2 linked regions of the Neodiprion lecontei genome follow. The protein of the gene in region 2 purifies or fractionates together with the protein of the main gene of each other region. This does not show direct contact. Links are inferred from orthologs where the notes say so. Each region holds a gene or a part of one and is shown on either strand. Other genes may lie near its edges. The genes, in order: protein HGH1 homolog; DNA polymerase interacting tetratricopeptide repeat-containing, protein of 47 kDa.

The links.
Region 1: the proteins of DNA polymerase interacting tetratricopeptide repeat-containing, protein of 47 kDa (region 2) and protein HGH1 homolog purify together in Homo sapiens (co-immunoprecipitation; 4 studies listed by BioGRID and IntAct, counting the BioPlex papers as one, with this or other methods). This does not show direct contact. The link is inferred for Neodiprion lecontei from reciprocal best matches to the Homo sapiens genes TTC4 and HGH1.

The regions. Positions count from the first base shown.
Region 1 is NC_060261.1:15,413,817-15,421,701, forward strand, and holds the start of protein HGH1 homolog, read right to left. Parts: upstream 6,271-7,885; 5' UTR 6,221-6,270; coding exon 6,136-6,220; intron 6,080-6,135; exon of another isoform or gene 5,741-6,079; intron 2,621-5,740; exon of another isoform or gene 2,443-2,620; coding exon of another isoform or gene 2,427-2,442; intron 2,311-2,426; coding exon 2,076-2,310; intron 1,661-2,075; coding exon 1,427-1,660; intron 1,284-1,426; coding exon 999-1,283; intron 917-998; coding exon 755-916; coding exon of another isoform or gene 751-754; intron 72-750; coding exon 1-71. Other genes in the region: PAXIP1-associated glutamate-rich protein 1, read left to right, coding at 6,790-6,858, 7,045-7,205, 7,509-7,743.
Region 2 is NC_060260.1:27,849,971-27,854,895, reverse strand, and holds the start of DNA polymerase interacting tetratricopeptide repeat-containing, protein of 47 kDa, read left to right. Parts: upstream 1-1,803; 5' UTR 1,804-1,945; intron 1,946-2,308; 5' UTR 2,309-2,316; coding exon 2,317-2,593; intron 2,594-2,913; coding exon 2,914-3,085; intron 3,086-3,307; coding exon 3,308-3,500; intron 3,501-3,592; coding exon 3,593-3,873; intron 3,874-4,228; coding exon 4,229-4,393; intron 4,394-4,925.

The sequences.
Region 1 (7,885 bases), on a different chromosome or scaffold from region 2:
TGAATTTTTCCTTGTACTCCTCAGGTATGGTTACTTCCCTCAAATTGTCCAAGCCGATCTCTTCCTCTTTTCTGAAAAATATTTATTAACTCTTCTGTTTTATTGTTTCATTATGATACTAGTAAAAAAATTTCAAAAACTTCTTATAGTCTTTTGAAGATATTTCACAGAAATATACTATTTTTTCGGACAGTTCTGAGAAAAATACTGTTTTTTTTTTCAGCAAAACTTTGAATTGTTCCAATAACAACTCGGATTCTGTTCGAAACTGTATGTTTTTTTGTCAAAAATATGAAAAACTTTATTTCATCTGGCTGCTTCTGACAGAATCGAGTTAGGGGTGAAAGTCGAATCAACTTCTAGAAAGAACTCATATTTTGACAGAACTCCGTTTTGTATCACAGATCTGAAAAATTCCGAGTTCTAGTGGTTCTTCGTATTTTCCGACCGTAACGCGTTAGGAGAAATTGGGATGGCTTTGTGAGAGTAATTAAAAACTTTTGAGAAGCAGTTGAAATTAAACCATCTCAAATGCAGCTGAGAAAATCTGGACATTCATAAAATAATATAGTCATTAAAACTATAATTGCGGAATCTTTTCAGAGAGTTTTCAAACGTAGCAAATTTTTTCCACAAATCTGCCGACATTAATTTTCTGCATATAAATTGAGAAAGGTCTTCAAAATTTCGAGAAATTACTAAAATTTTTCACTTTTCAGAAACAATTAGAAACTGTCTAAAAATCAGAACTAACTTGAGCAATATATCCACAACGTTTTCGCACGCCAATAGAACTGCTCTGTCTTTTTCCCACTTGTGAAATTCTCTCAGGATAACGTATACATTCTTATCCCTCAGTATTTCACGGCCTTCCCTTGTTGCGCATAGTTGAGCCAAAGCCTCCAACAGCATTGTTCTGAAGATAATATACAACGAAATATGTTATCACAGAATCCTAAAACTGTATTTTTTCTCTAGTGTATCTTTCTCCGGTTTACCTGATGTCAGGATCGGAATCTCTAGTTTTGTTTTCAGGCAAATACTGTAGTTCTATCGGAAGTTTGTCATTATCATCGTCGTTGAACTCTTCCGGACCAGCAAGGGGCAATAAAAGTCGAGGTAAAATGTCCACTTTAGGGCCTAATAACCATGCATGGTATTCCGTATCAAAACAACAGTTTTTCAATGTGCCCACAATTCCGCCACGTCTTACCGTGCTTTCAACATATTCTGTGAAGGGAAGAAGTCTTTGAATGACGCAATGTTCTTTGTCCAATAAATATCTAAAAGAATAGAAAAATGTAAGCTGATCTATATTAACAACTTTTCTTTGTATAGACAGAAGATTTGACAGTAGTTTTGTAACTTTGTGCAATTTTAGAAATAATTGGCATTTTACTAACGTTACTTTGTACAGAGAACATACCTTCGCATGGTAATAGATTGGCTAAGATTGCTGAAAACAGGGCCTAAGTAATGGAGGGTGGCTCCCTTTTCGTTATATTTCTGAGCCGTAAAGGCGGCAATTATTGCGCTCCATGCATAACCGCTATTATTAACTACCGCTAAAATTCTTTCTGTCAGAGAATGCGCTCGCGTTAAATTAGACAAAATCATGCAACATGGGTCAGCCAAGTCGTTCTGCTTATCCAAAATGCATCTGCAAATAACAAATAGAACTATAAGTCGGAAAAAAATTTCAAATCCTATCCATGATCATTTTTCTATTATACCTAATCCAAAAGAAACCAAACGTGTTCGATTGTTATCAGATTACTAAAAAGGAAGTAGAAAAACGTTAATTTGATAACTTCAATTTCATTGGAAAGAATTTGAAAATAAATAGTTCATCATGAACTGAGAAAATCACTGCATGAAATTGTTTATTTTTTCTAACTGAATTTTTTTCTTGGTGAAACAATTACAATGCTTATCCAGGTTCTTCTTTCTTTTTGCCTTTTGTTATCAACAAATAAATTTGTTATAATCTATGTTTAGTTAACTGAGAACTGATGAGGGCAATTTCATATTTTTACAATTATATGTTGATTATCATTAGGAAGTGTATCTACTACCTAAGGCAAGTATGTACTAGATTATCATTTGGTTTTTCATCTGGTCTCATCTTCGATGTCTCTGATATAACCAGTAATGCATTCGCTCCACCATCATAAGCTGATATGTTAATCAATGAAAGAGCGGCATCTTTGCAGACTGATGTTGAATTATCCTGTACCAGCAGAACAAGTTGCCTTACTATTTCAGGTAAGCTCAATAACAGCTCAATTCCATCATTGCTGCCTGTTACACCTAAAACAATAATTCGTGAACAATAAAACTATATTCAATGTAATTAGTCAATTCATATTTTGTGCCCGTCATATATGAAAGAATAATGAAGAGCATGTAACTGGTCTCGGCTTTACCCATCAAAATATGCATTCTTTCGTTGACCGAAGATTGCTAATAGTCACATCTCTGGCAGCCAGATAAATGAGGCTTTTTGAAACTAGATAGGGGATGGGGTGAAGAGCTTCAAAGTCCCATGAACGAGTCACTAAATCTAGGGCAATGCTATTATCCCCCTATCTTCAATGCTCTTGACGTTGCCGGAGGATTGCTAAAAACAGCCGGTCACGGGTATCCTTTGAAAGCAACTACTAGGTCACACCGGGTGCGATAATTACATAGTGCCCTACATTTATCAACTTGCTTATGGGGCTTATGTTATTCGAGTATGTTACGATAAGAACTTTCTTTACGGAGCTTAAAAATGCCCCATTCAGCTATATGTGTGAAGTTGGCCTGCGACCATCGAATTTTTCAAAAAATAGTGCGCCAAATAATTGCTCCTTAATTACTCTGAATTACGCCCTAACTTTTATTATACACTCTTATACGGTTCTTACATTCGGTGTACCGCCACACGTCGTTCCTATTTATTGCTCCTACTTGCTAACTCTCCCACACTTCTAACGTCGCGTTATACCTAGTCTCTATCCTGTCCTATCTCCATGTAGCCTCACGCTACTCGCCATCAAAGAAAATTTACGCGATAGAATTTTTATAATGTTTTTTTTCGCAGATCCGTTCCTAATACCTAATAAAAATACTACTCAGTTTTACGGGGAGGGAACCATCGCAAGCCTGTGTTATTGATTAATATCCTACCAACAACCCATCAGGTATATTTACTTTAAGAGGGAAAGAATCCAGTTCAATAGTCCATAACAGACATAACACGGTTTTCAAGAGAATCAAAAAAAAAAAAAACTCATCGGGCACGTCAGCCCCGGTAATAGCGCCAAATTCAAAGAAGTGTTCGGGACAAACCGATGATTATTAAAATAAAATGACATTTGATACTGATTGCTCCTTGACAGCTCGTAATTGCTCCGTAAGTCTCGTAATTTGCTCAATCATAATTTTCGAGAAAACTGGGAAAGAATAAAGGGACCAGTGTGGAAGTTATACGAACGAACGGGAGACTTACAATTAAACTGGAATCCCCAGCAAGAAATTATCAATTCGACCCAGGTGCATATTGCTTCTAATTGCTCCTCGATTTCTTATCAATTATCTATCAATTTGACGGTTTACTTCCCCGTAATTCTCGAGAAAACTGGGAAAAACGAAAGTGACTCATGCGTGGCCGAGGGTCGAGTCGTGGAAAATTCTCGATTCTAACGAAAAAATGATAATTCCACCCTAGTGCATATTGCTTCTAACTGATCCTCGATTGTTTATACGTGATCTGTTCATTTGGTCATTTGGTTCTGCTTCGTGATCGAGAAAACTGTTAAAAACCAGAGCAACTGGTTTGTAGGTTACGTCGACGAGCGGCGGATTCAAAATAGTATCCGAAACAAGAAACATGTCGATTCAGCAAAAGTGACTTTTGCTTCAAATTATTCCTTGATAGCTATTTCCGTACTACTAATTTTATTATTTGCTCCCACATAGTTTTGACGATTGAATAAGGAATCGAGGAGCAATTAGAAGCAATATGTTCTTGGGATGATATTGGTGGATGCGTGAAGATCAATCAAGGAGCGAATATAATCAATTGTCACTTTGGCCAAATCGAGATTATTCCTGTTCCGGATAGGAGAGGATCGATTCTACAGAAATCAGTTCTACAGAGCAAATGTTCTACAGAATATGTTATCCAGACTCGTTTCTACAGAAATATTTTGCTACAGAATATTTTCCTACAGAAGAGAATTCGAGATTCACATCAGAAATAATCCTGCATGAATTATTTGACAGGAAAATCAGTTTACAAGATATTGTTCTACATAATATTTTTTTATAGAATAGTTTTCTAGTTTCACACATCCAACATAATACCCGTTTGACACAACACACACATAAATTCAATAAAAACAATTTAAATTAAATTAAATTAAATCAAAATGTACGAAATTGTCGAGTCATATGATTTTGACGATTCGATGATTGCTCTGAAAGTGTGTTGCGTCAAACATACTATTCTGTAAAATAATTTGTCTGTAGAAAAATGTTCTGTAGAAAAATATTTTGTAGAAAAATATGTTGTTGAACAATTCTTCTGTAGAATAATTCATGCAGGATTATTCATGGGATTATTCCTGATGTGAAAAATTATTTCTGTAGAAATGAGTCTGTAGAACATATTCTGTATAACATTTGCTCTGTAGAACCGATTTCTGTAGTATCAAACCGCATTCCCGGATACAACTTCGAATCCGCTGCTCGTCGACGTAACCTACAAACCAGTTGCTCTAGTTTTTACCAGTTTTCTCCATAATTAGGTAGTAGCAATTGACTAAACTGACAGAATACTTATAAAAATCGAGGAGCGATGACGAGCATTTGGCAGTTGGGCCGAACTATTATTTTTCCGATACGGACACGAGTTTGAATCTGAAACTATTCGACTCTCGGCCACACCATCAGTCAGTGATGTTTTTCCCGGTTTTTTTCAAAAATTACGATGGAGGAAATGACAAAATTGATATATAATTGATAACAAATCGAGAAGAAATTGGAAACAATATGTATTTGAGCCGAATTGAATATTTCTATATAGGAGATTTCAGTGTAAATCTGCCGCTCGTCGATATAACCTCCAAACTACTCCCTTTGTTTTTTACCTATTTTCTCGAAAACTATGAAGAAGCAAATTATAAGACTTATGGAGTAATTACGAGATGCCCAGGAGAAATTAAGGGATTATACATATATATATATTAATTTAGGGAATATATCAAATCGAATTCGACAACGCTTCGCGAAAAGCCCCTCTTCGTTTTTTCTCGATTTATTCGAAACCACGCAGACGCAATTAACAAAAATAACATAAGATTGGGAGTAATTAAGGTACAATGGAAAGCAAATATCATTTCGTTTGAATAACCATCAGTTTGTTCGAAACACTTTTTTGAATTTGAACAGTTTTTTTCTTTTAATTGGATTTTGTTGAAAACTGTGTAGGAGCAAATAATAAAAGTTAGGGAGCAATTGAAGAGCAACTATTTGGTACATGAATTCTTTGGAAATTCTGCGGATTTTTAAAATCCTTGAAACACCTGACGGCTGCCGAAGATGCATTTTTTGCGATTTTCTCGAGAACCGTGTGAATGCAAATAATCAAATTTAGAGAGCAATTAAGAGAAGTTGGGGAGCAATTAGTTGGTATAAAATCATTTGAAAAATTCAAAAATCGCAGGCTGACATCACATAAGTCATTTACATTTACCTGCTGCCTTTAATAATCTTCAGTCAAAGACTCATTGCAGAAATACCTTGGTCGATGAAGGCAGAATTGTTGCATGTATCTCAGTTGATACTGAAGATATCTCTTCATCTTCAAGCCTACCTCGACTGAATTTAATTTCCATGTGGCGTGACTGAATCTCTTACGATATATGTTCATACAAAAGCGCCGCTAAAGAAGTTTTCACTTCGATAACTCCTTCATTGGACGATTATTGTCATGTTATGATTTTTGGCCCTGAGGTGTTATTTAACAAATGTCCTAATTAATTTCTTACAAGCTCAAAGACAAGAACATCACAATATGATATGATATTTTAGGTTAATGTAGACTTATTGATATTGGTCAATGAATAATCAATAGGGTAATAAACTTACTCAGCACGTGCTGCAAAGCGATGGATTTTAAATCCAACCGAGTTCCAATGTCTAAAAATTGTGATATTTCTTCAATTGCTTCCATTAGCACGACTTTCACAATATGTTTTAACCGAGATCTAAACGCAACTTGACTCCACGGTGCCGTTATATGATACCGAAAGTTGAATCACATGGAATTATTACATGTACCATTGATTGTTAAATTTTGCTTGGGGATTATGGAATTCACGCATTATTCTCTATAATTCCACAAAATGATCTCAGGTCTCATTGGCAGATTCTGAATTGTGCGTACGGCTTGTGGATTCCGTCTGAGATTACTTTTGTACTGTACGTAGTAGACAACGCGCCGCAAAGCACCAAGCCACCAAACAGACATGGCTACGCCCTTGTGTAACGTAACGTGACATAAAGTAACGTAAAATACAAGTGTAATCCGGTTGTCTGAGATTCGATCGAACATTTGTTTATAGTAGAAATAAAGTAATCTAGGGCGATCTTTGAGGTTTGCAACAAATGCCAAAGTCGCATTGAACGCTGGATGCCTTAGAATAATATAAATTGTCCCGTCTGAATGTATTCGGACGTTGAACGGATTAACCTTAAATCACTGGATATGACATGTTGAAAATTTGACCATTTTTCATAAGTATGGAACAGAGCGACGAGGATTGGTCAGTCGAATGCTCTGACGATGAAAAATATGAGGCAACTACAGCGGTACTAATAACACTTTTTTCAATAATGATTTCAATAAATTATAGCGAGTCGAGTTAGAATGGAGTATTGTAAATTTTCCAAGTTTCAGAGTATGGAAAGTTGTGTAGACCTAATTCGTAATTTTGATATCGACTCAAGCCTTTCGAGATATCGTCAAGTTTGTAAAACAATTTTTTAATTCCACAGAACGAATGGACTCTGCAGCCAGAGAGTATAATGGCATTGATTGAAGGATTGGAGGTGAACCATCATATTCTTGAACTGGAATGGAAATGTCCAGGAAGACGAGGCCCTTCGCCAGTACCCACCAATAATCGTCAACAGGATCACACTTCACAGGATTATAAGTAAGTAATTATGTAATTCCATACAGACATGCAGCATAATTTTTTATATTATCAACAGTTTCTAATATATATGCATGTTATATCATTCTTGTACCAAAATATATACATATAAATGATTTGATATCATGATTTTCATATAAATACACATAGAAATATGAGTTTTATCTAAAAATTATACAAACATAATATACAGTATAATATGACCAATATATTATTTTCTACTAATACAAGCGAAAAGTTTATTGATGGATAAAAGTTACTTGCAAAGTAGAAAGAAAAATATATTCTTGTTCTATCTAATAGAACTGAAGAGAAGTCTGATTTTGACTTTATGGATGAAATGTCGTCCCCACGGATGCCAGTTCGGCGAGTTGGGGAAAGCACTCCGAAAGGTAGTGCCAAGAAAAAGACTGCAAGTTTCAACGGGGTCTTATCTACAATGCTCCGACACCGACGCTTGGAACAACAAGAAATCAACTCTAGTCCTAAAAAGCCAGAAGCTAACTCCCCAAACCCCAAGCCACAGGCAACTCAATAGGACTTCATTTGTTAAGTTCGAACTATGAAAATTTACCTACATTATTTGTTGGAACAGTTTGTCGGTTTTGCAGGGTTTGACAATAAGACCCTTTTGTACTGGTAATTTTTCAGTTTTTGGTGATTGATTGAATTTTATATCA
Region 2 (4,925 bases):
TCGTAGAAGAGCCATAAGATTAATACCATGAATTCAAGTACTTTTACCAATGTTTTCAGTATGCAATAGATAAGCAATGTTCACTAACGTGAAAGTTATTCGATATGCCATATCAAAAACTCGCATTTAAGGAAGACAAATTGAAATTGCTAATTAGAACCAAATAACTGTAGGCCTACTTTAGAACATTCGTGATGCTATAATTTTTATAGAATTTATTTTCAAAAGAAACAATAATTCCAACCAATGTTATAACGTTCGCATAATATAACGTATATCCTTTACTGGACGGTAAACTACAATTACTTTTTAGAGGATAAAGGATTTCTAAGTTTCTAACTTATGTGATTAACAATCAGTTATCGATATTTATAACGATCCACTCGCGCATGTGTATTTAAATGCGTATACCTACAAATACATATGTGCGCGTGTTACGGACCGTCTGAATCTTTATATAACATACACATCTATTATACATATATACATATAAATGAAGTTTATTTTTTGTGTTTCGTCAGTGTTGTATACACATATTTTCTTGTTTCTTTATTAAGCTTCAAATCATGTAGGAATTATGATATTGAACTAGTTGAAATTTTATTTATTATTGAATACTGCACTGGTGTCAAGATTTTTGCAATAAAAGCGTAAGTGCAGAATGTTTAACGACGATGTAATCGTCCAAAACTTAATATACGTATACAGAATATTAAACATACCGAAGTTTTCAGAGAATCACGAAAAAATAAACAAAAATTTAATTTGTGAATTAACATTGTTTGAACAGCCATTGTTTACTGCTTTAGTAGAATCAATTTTGTGGCCATTTTAATAATTATACCGAGAAAGCTGAAAGGCTTACATTAGCTTTAGTAGCGAGTTGGATATCTTATGTAGTTTGAAAATGTCATTCAAAGTGATCAATTATACAATTTTTAAACGACCATTGCTAGGCTGTAGTTTCCAGACACATGTACATGGTTCTGAGAGTAGTTCCACGATTATTATTATTTTTGTACAAAATCTAATATGATAATTTTGAACATGCATAAGAACCCGTACTAACTCAATCAATTATTGTATTTATGATAAAACAGTTATCATTAGATAGTTTTCGCTGAGAGCGGAAAAATTATTTAAAAATATATTCCACAAATTTGCAATATTGTACAAATTTTGTGTGAATATACAAAAAAATTAAATAAACTTACAAAAAATACGACAAAAGATAACAAAAAAAAGTAAAAAAAAAAAAAAAACGTTATTCGGGAATTATGATGGGTAGAGGAGCAATGTCCTGTATTTAGCTATTTAATACAAGGTTGGATTGCAAGGAAGATTTTTATATTGCTTATTAAGAATAACTATTAGACTATAGGAAAATACTAAGTGCAGCGTAGAACATCGTTTCAAGGTGGACTTCCAACGAATCGAAATGTAAATAATAATCAATAATGTTTTCTATTTAACAATTACAAAAATAACATTATGTTATGTTTTTTCAGTTTGAATCTGAACATAGTGAAGTGACATTGTGATACACGAACACAAATGTATACATAATGTTGTTAAACAGTGTACTCCAACATGAATATACGTATAATATGTGTGCATTATTTATTTCAAACTGTTAATGCCCAGTTATGTGTATATTCATGGTCAGTTGCAGACGCGAGTGTGTATATAAACATGTAATACATTAAATTTGTCTCCTAATACGAAATAAAATGTATTTTTAACGGTAGCATTTTTATTCCTCAATGTATTGCTTTTTTCTTCAGACTCAATGTCATGCGAATTCAACATGTTGTACTTACGACTAGCAGCCATGTGTTTGCCATGCTTGCGTGACGTGTGTGAAGCGTGTGAGATTGAGAGTCAGTGAAAAATATACGCACGACATCTGGGTGCTTTTTTCTATGAACAATAAGAGAAGTCATAGGTGAGCATACAAATTTTCGTCACTATAATATTATTTTTTGAATAGATATTTACTTAAAATCAGTTTTGAACCGTTGCTCGATTCTTTGATTAGGTAAGTTAGGTTATGGTGCAAACGGTACATGTCTTTTTAGTTTCAATTTCTATGAATCTTTTTGCAGGACATCCGTAAGAATCAATATATTTGTACTTTTACTTAATTTACGATTGTTATAATCACTATTAGGTTACATTTTTTAAATCAAAATCAGTATATCACTTTAATATATCTTCAACATGACTGAACATAACCTGTAACAATAGTAATACCTTTGTATTGCAAGAATCTGATGATATTTTTTCATACTCATCAACTTACATTTAGGATTAACAATGAATGCTGAAAATATAAATAATGCCAAGAAAAAGTCTTGGACCGAAAATGAGCGCTTAGAACTTGCCGCTAAATTGGACGCTGAGTTGGATGACTATATTAATAACTTGGAGCAAAAACAATATACCGAAGGATGGCCAGAAGATCGTTGGGAAGCCGAAATGGATAAGCATCCTTTCTTCATGAAAAAAGCTCCCCAAGTTGGAGACGAATTATCACCGCTAATGGAAGGCTTGCAACAGTTGAAATATGATGAGAACGAAAATACTCCCGAAGGTTGGTGAGCAAACAATAGATAAAGCTGAAACTAGCAAGTAATAGTTAGCAGGTAATACAGGCGGAAAGGTTTCAGGGGATGACCAAATGATGAAACACGGCAGAATTATTCAGGGAACTCTTTCGAATATATTCCTTAATATTTTATCGTTAGCTCACTCCCTGTAAGCTCTCCACAGGTATTACCTGCCAGTTTCAGTATCATAAACTATAATGCATATCATTTTGGTAAACAGTGTACGGAAAGTAGAAACTCGTCATAGTAAGCCCAAGGTGTTGAAGAAGGCATTTTTTTATAATTCTGTGGTTTGGTATTTCAGAATTAGCAAATAACTACAAAGAAGATGGTAATTTCAATTTCAAATACAAGAACTACCGTCTAGCTATAATGGGGTACACAGAAGGCATCAGAACTAAATGTAAAGATGGTGATTTAATGGCTCAGCTTTATAATAATCGAGCTGCTGCACATTACATGCTTCAGAATTACCGGTAAATATATCTCTTATATCATAGTCATTGTTCAGTTCATATTTCCAAATACTGTGGAGATCAAAGTGATTAATTTTTTGACGAAATTATTTAAGCTTTAAAAGTAAGCCATGTTTGGAATGAATCCAAGTGGTCCAGGCACTAGTTACTTTAATAGAAAACATATCTTTCATCCTAGTCCACTTTTCATTTAACAAATATCTGCATTTATGAAAATTTCAGATCAAGTTTAAACGATTGCAAACATGCTTTGAAACTTAAGCCAGACTATCCAAAAGCATTAAACAGAGCTGCAAACTGCTGTTCGCAGATCAAGGACTATGATCAATGTATTACTTACTGTGATCAATTTCTCGAAAAATCTCCGTCGGAAAAGGTGATATTAAATCTTAGAAATGAAGCAGTAGCTAACAAGGTAAGATGCGGTTTACAACAGTATTCTGTACTGAGCTCATCAGCTATAACCTTGAATACTCACACTGTTGAAAAACTATTGAAAATTTACAGAAAAAATTGGAGAGGGATAAACGTCGAACTGATGCTTTGGCTAAGAAAATTGACCGAGAAGAGGAGACTTTACTTGAAATAATTCAGAGCAGAGGTGTGAATATCGAATTGGACTCAGGGAAGAGACACCTGCAACTATCTGATCTTGAACCGTGCATACCACAAATAGCCCAGAACAGAGTGCATTTGATGGAAGACGGCCGTCTGGTTTGGCCCGTTATAATTTTATATCCAGAAACTCAACAAACAGATTTCATTCAAGAATTTCACGAAGATACCAGGTACTTTTAATATTATTACTATCATTATCATTGATAAGATCAATTATCTTATACTGCATAAACAACCGAAAAAATGCCATGCGTATTAAACCACTTTCTTGGACCCGATGAAATCTAACTATTTATACTAGGATGAAAATTACTGAAGGAGTTGGTAGTTCAAATTAGTTTGATGTTGTACATTTGAACGCTGCCTTTAACCACATTTACACGCAGTATGATCTACTTGAGCATTTAGAAAAATCTGGTGCAGTAATTGATAAAAACTTTACACGCCGTTGTTTGGCTGGGAACCGCATATTTGCTGTTACTGTATTTTCACTTCATACTCAAATATTGGTGGTTTATGTTCCAGGTTGATAACCCAGTTGAAAGAACTGTTTGAAGAACCTCCGGGATGGGACACAGGAAGGCGGTATTATCCAGAAAATTTAAATGTGTATTTTGAGGGTAAAGGGAAACGCACTGTTCACAAAATTGACGTTGAAGCAACACTTGGAAAAATTCTGGCTGACCAGAGGTGAGAGTTTTGAGATTTAATTGATTATTGTATTACGTTTGCAAAAAGTTTCGATAAAGTTAGAAATCAAGGACGAACATCGCTATGATTTTTAACTCCATTTTACAGTAAAGGCGTGAAATCGTGATAAATAGTAACTTGATACTTACGTACCTATAATCCGAAACCCGCCTTTATTGCATTCTCTTTTATGTGATATTCTGCATCGATGAAATTAGACAAGTTATTGCAGTAATTTACTCTATCAGGACAAAGGATTCTTCGAAATATAAATAGAGACATATCCAATATCGAGCGTGTTATTGGCAATATTTGCTGCAGTTGAATGGAATTTTATCGTTCGAATCATACCCGGTACATATTTCGCAATTTAGACAATAATAGGAGGCATTGTGTTTTACTGCACCTACTAGCGGGTGGCTCTCTCGAATCTCTTTTTCTTTCCGGGAATTTGAAAGTGCGCTTAATACTACGGCTGTGGACCGGTTTTACAGAAACCTATCCTACAGAGTAAAAGTTGTACACAGAATAT